2 linked regions of the Xenopus tropicalis genome follow. The protein of the gene in region 1 purifies or fractionates together with the protein of each later gene. This does not show direct contact. Links are inferred from orthologs where the notes say so. Each region holds a gene or a part of one and is shown on either strand. Other genes may lie near its edges.

Region 1 (2,844 bases):
TGGGCTAAACATTAACCCTATCTGTAACAATGGCCCCTTTATTGGAGCTCCCTATAGATCCTCTCAGGTCCCTGTCTGGGTTTCAAATGAGGGGTGGGCGTGTCCTAACGGTCCCTGCCAGAAGCACAGTAGGAGGGGGAGAGCCAATCACAGCCCTGCAGTGTGGTTCATCACTGAATTTCTTGTTCTGCCGCAGGAAAGTTTCAGATGCAAGTGCTGCCCCAGTGCGGACACGCTGTGCATGAAGATGCCCCCGATAAGGTGAGACTTATAGAGCGCTATGTCTCTTGGAGAGAATTGAAGCTTTTTTTTAAGTTTGTTCCTAATTCTGGGCCATGTGATTTCTCTCAAGGTTGCAGAAGCCGTCGCCACGTTCTTGGTGCGTCACAGGTTCGCAGAATCAGTGGGCGGATTCCATTGGTAAGAGCTGGTGTCGCTATTGGCTGTATAGCAGCGACTGTGTGCGTCCAATAGGACTCTCCTTGCAGGGTCTAATGATTGCATGGGTACATACATTTGTTTTACTTGTCTCATCCGGTTATTTGACCACCCCCCCCCCCCCAAGCCATGACCCAATGCAGTCCTGACCCAATGAGATTTGCCATACACAGGCTGCATATATATGTCAGTCATGTGACGGAACTGACATCACTAAGCTCCGATTATAACTGATGACATCACTAAGCACCATTTATAAGGATATAATTTACAGTTTGGTCCCATAGGGAAATTAACAAACTGTATATTATATAGTATGTATATTACTGTATATTATGTATATAAATGTACAGTTTGTTAATTTCCCTATGGGACCAAACTGTAAATTATATCCTTATAAATGGTTCTTAGTGATGTCATCAGTTACAGTCGGAGCTTAGTGATGTTATTTCTGTCACATGACTCACTGAAACTTATATATTGTAATAAACTAGTAGAAGTCACTTCAGAGTTCCGTGACCTGTATAAGCACTTTACCTTTGGCCTTGTGGTCACATAACTCCTCAGTGACTTATATTATCCCTATATGTTACAATAGGGGGCACTTTATTCACTATATATTATAAGGAACTCCTCGGGGGCTTATAATATCCCTATATGTTACAATAGGGGGCACTTTATTCACTATATATTATAAGGAACTCCTCAGTGACTTATATTATCCCTATATGTTACAATAGGGGGCACTTTATTCAGTATATATTATAAGGAACTCCTCGGGGGCTTATAATATCCCTATATGTTACAATAGGGGGCACTTTATTCACTATATATTATAAGGAACTCCTCGGGGGCTTATAATATCCCTATATGTTACAATTGGGGGCACTTTATTCACTATATATTATAAGGAACTCCTCGGGGGCTTATAATATCCCTATATGTTACAATTGGGGGCACTTTATTCACTATATATTATAAGGAACTCCTCGGGGGCTTATAATATCCCTATATGTTACAATAGGGGGTACTTTATTCACTATATATTATAAGGAACTCCTATGGGACTTATAATATCCCTATATGTTACAATAGGGGGGCACTTTATTCACTATATAATATAATCTGTAGTTTATGAGTGTCGGTATATTAGCCCCCATGCCGGCCCATCCCAGTAACGTCTGTTCTTCTGTCCCCAGTGTGTTCCCTGCCTGTTAGTATGCTGCTGGCCGTGGGGAAAGGAGCTGTAAATAGTCTGAAACCAGAGGTAACTGTGATGATCCAAGTTCTCACCATCAGCCTGATACAAAGGAGGAAACGTGGGTTCCTATCTGTGTGTGCGGCGGCACCGCAACAACCGCCACCATTCTGTTGCTATAGCGCCGGCCAGCCCCCCTGTGCCGCACTCGGCTCAGACCCTCTCTGTGCAGTACACTTGGCTCTCTTCTGATTTATCCCTTCCATAATCTCCTCCTCATCGCCAGCCGTCTGCAGATATCACAGTTTGGGGTGAACCTTTTGATATTGGGCAGTCATAGAGAAGCTTTGCCGTTTGCTCTGGGGGTTTGGGGTTCTGGATGATACCAAACATTCTGGCGGGGGGGAGTAGGGGGCAAGACAATCTCATCATTGCTTATTCACTACAGACTGGAATGGCTATCAAGCTGGTAAGGAAGGTAGGGAAGATTCATTGTATTACCATCAGTTATTCAGGGGCTCATATTGGTTTGCTTGCCTATAGCTTTCCAATGGGATGTTGGTGAGAGGGTACACTGGGGGTCATTTATCAACACTGGGCAGATTTGCCCATGGCAGTAGCCTATGGCAACCAATCAAATTGTTGCATTCATTCTTCTACCTGCATCTAGCTGAAGGCCCAAACAGCCCCCCCCCCCCCCCCAGCCCAATAAATAGTGACTGTCTGGCACCTTACAGCCCCCCTGGCATTCCCAGTACCCAGAGGCACAAACAGTCCCCCCCCCAGCCCAATAAATAGTGACTGTCTGTGGCACCTTACAGCCCCCCTGGCATTCCCAGTACCCAGAGGCACAAACAGCCCCCCCAGCCCAATAAATAGTGACTGTCTGTGGCACCTTACAGCCCCCCCGGCATTCCCAGTACCCGGAGGCACAAACAGCCCCCCCCAAGCCCAATAAATAGTGACTGTCTGTGGCACCTTACAGCCCCCCTGGCATTCTCAGTACCCGGAGGCACAAACAGCCCCCCCCCCAGCCCAATAAATAGTGACTGTCTGGCACCTTACAGCCCCCCTGGCATTCCCAGTACCCAGAGGCACAAACAGCCCCCCCAGCCCAATAAATAGTGACTGTCCGTGGCACCTTACAGCCCCCCTGGCATTCCCAGTACCCAGAGGCACAATCAGCCCCCCCAGCCCAATAAATAGTG
Region 2 (2,415 bases), on another chromosome or scaffold:
AGTGACCCCTATTTGATGAAGGCAAATAATCCAAAAACTATAAAAATAAATAAATAAATAAGGAAGACCAATTGCAACGTAGAGGTAAGGGATCGGTTACCCAGAAAGCCCGAAATAACGGAAAGCCCGTCTCCCATAGACTCCATTTTAATCAAATAAAACCGATTTAAATTTTCTCTGTAATAATAAAACAGAGTGACGGCCTTCCCCTAATTCGGAACTTTCTGGATAACCGGTTTCCGGATAACTGATCCCATACCTGTACCTTGTACTTGACCCCAATGGAGATATAATTAATCCTTATTGGGGGCAAAACAATCCTATTGGTTGAATTAATTTTTTTTAGTAGACTAAGGTACGGAGATCCAAATTACAGGAAGACCCCTTATCTAGAATACCCTGAGCTTTGTGGATAACGGGTCCTACACCCGCCCCTTTTCTACTGACCAACCGAAGCATTAACAGACTTAACATATAAATATATACAAATACATTTTCCATTTTTATTGCTTTTTCTCATTTTATTAGCAGATGTTTAACTGTATCCTACCAAAAATGTAAAATTAGAAGAAAAAAAAAATAAAAATAAAAGGGAAAAAGGATAAAATCTTTGACCAGAAAGAGTGCGGAACAAGAGACTGGGGCCATAGACGAAAGGAAGGGAGTTATAATGGAATATCGGCTGTTCCAGGGAAGGAATCGGAGGTTTGGCATTGTAGGTGGCAATACACGAGCTGAAGCTTTAGATGCCTCCTTGCCAAAGCAATCTCTCAGCTAGCCGCTTACAAAGGGTTAAACAAAATGGCTACTCACGTTCCCGGCAGCCCAGAATGGCTTCGCTGAGCTACAGGGGCCAGCTACGGTGAACACTTTGGCTCAAAAGTTGCCAATCGGCACCAAAAGGGGCTCAAATCTTAGATCTGCCGCAGCTTCTAAATAGAGAAGGGGCGGCGGGTTCCATCATCATCATCATCATCATGTCTCTCCTGGTCCCCCCCAGCTGGGATTGGGCGCCCGGGCCCCGCTTGCACTAAGGCACTCCGTACGTGAGTGTAAGCTCAGCATCTTAGTACAGGGGACGTGAGGCTCCGAGTGGAAGAGACATTATAAGGAATGACTGCGGATCTGGGGGGGGGGGGGGGTTATAAAATCAAGGAAGAAGCTGTGAATTCTAGAAGTATTTTGGTTTCCTTGCATAATGCTGCCCCCCCCTCTCTCCCTACTAGAAAGCATCACACTGACCCCCCCTGAAAGTCCTGCAGAGCATTACATTTACCTAGTTTCCTGAGAGGCGCAGCACGGCTACAGGAGTTTCCGGATATCTCCTCCTTTGCTAGAAGAGCTGGCAGGGCATTGCTAATTCACTGTAGGGGTGGCACGGCCATGCTATATACACAGCGGTAGCTCTCTCTTCCCAACCGTTGCTACCTAACACATACACACACACACGAGGCTCCGTGAGATGGATCTAGAAAAGAAGGGGCGATGCTCTGCAGCGGAGCTGGGCGCTGGCAAATCATTTGTTTAGAAACAGCAGCACTGGTCCCGTTGCCAGAGGTGAGAGGAGGAGAGAGAGTTGTGCTGGGAGCAGTTCAAAAAGACAATCAGGAGGAAATGGTGCAGAGGCCATCATTGGGCGGGTCACAGGAAGTAATCAGCGACGGGTTTCTTGGAGGGGATACCTCTCGTCTCCTGGGGGGCAGCCTCAAATATGATGAATTCTTTCTGTAGGTGTTCGTCCAGCTCAAGTATGGCGGCGACATTCCCGCACCTACAGAGAACACAGAGTCAGGCTGCGGGGGGGCACACACTCACACTCAATGAGCGGAACTAAAGGGGACACTGTGTGACAACCAATATTGTGCCAATGAATTGTACTCATCTAAATGCAGAAGGAATGGGCTTTAAAAAGTAGTGTTTGGGGCTGATTTATTGAGAAATTTCTCCAAAAACCCACTTCCTGCTGCCTCCTTTCCCAGGCTGTGCAGGGGGGCCGGCGGCACTGTAGGATAGGAACCAATCAGCAGCTAGGCTGACCTGATAGGGAACTGAAGCCTGTCTGTGCTTGTGTGAGTTCAGGGCTGTGATTGGCTCTCCCCCTCCTAGAGGGACCATTAGGACACGCCCACCCCTCACTGGAAACCCAGACAGGGACCCGAGAGGATCTATAGGGAGCTCCAATAAAGGGGCCATTGTTACAGATAGGGTTAAAGGAGACATATCCTATAAAAATTAAGAATGTACCAGGGAATTATACTCCTCTAGATATAGAAGGATTGTGCTTAAAAAGTTGTGTTTCTGTACTGTAGGATAGGAACCAATCAGCAGCTAGGCTGACCTGATAGGGAACTGAAGCCTGTCTGTGCTTGTGTGAGTGCAGGGCTGTGATTGGCTCTCCCCCTCCTACTGTGCTTC

The links.
Region 2: the proteins of ppme1 (region 1) and ppp4c purify together in Homo sapiens (affinity purification with mass spectrometry; 3 studies listed by BioGRID and IntAct, with this or other methods). This does not show direct contact. The link is inferred for Xenopus tropicalis from reciprocal best matches to the Homo sapiens genes PPME1 and PPP4C.

The regions. Positions count from the first base shown.
Region 1 is NC_030678.2:174,863,636-174,866,479, reverse strand, and holds the end of ppme1 (protein phosphatase methylesterase 1), read left to right. Parts: intron 1-196; coding exon 197-261; intron 262-352; coding exon 353-420; intron 421-1,637; coding exon 1,638-1,656; 3' UTR 1,657-2,344; downstream 2,345-2,844. UniProt on the Homo sapiens protein: Demethylates proteins that have been reversibly carboxymethylated. Demethylates PPP2CB (in vitro) and PPP2CA. Binding to PPP2CA displaces the manganese ion and inactivates the enzyme.
Region 2 is NC_030685.2:2,447,928-2,450,342, forward strand, and holds the end of ppp4c (serine/threonine-protein phosphatase 4 catalytic subunit), read right to left. Parts: intron 1,772-2,415; coding exon 1,642-1,771; 3' UTR 501-1,641; downstream 1-500. UniProt on the Homo sapiens protein: Protein phosphatase that is involved in many processes such as microtubule organization at centrosomes, maturation of spliceosomal snRNPs, apoptosis, DNA repair, tumor necrosis factor (TNF)-alpha signaling, activation of c-Jun N-terminal kinase MAPK8, regulation of histone acetylation, DNA damage checkpoint signaling, NF-kappa-B activation and cell migration.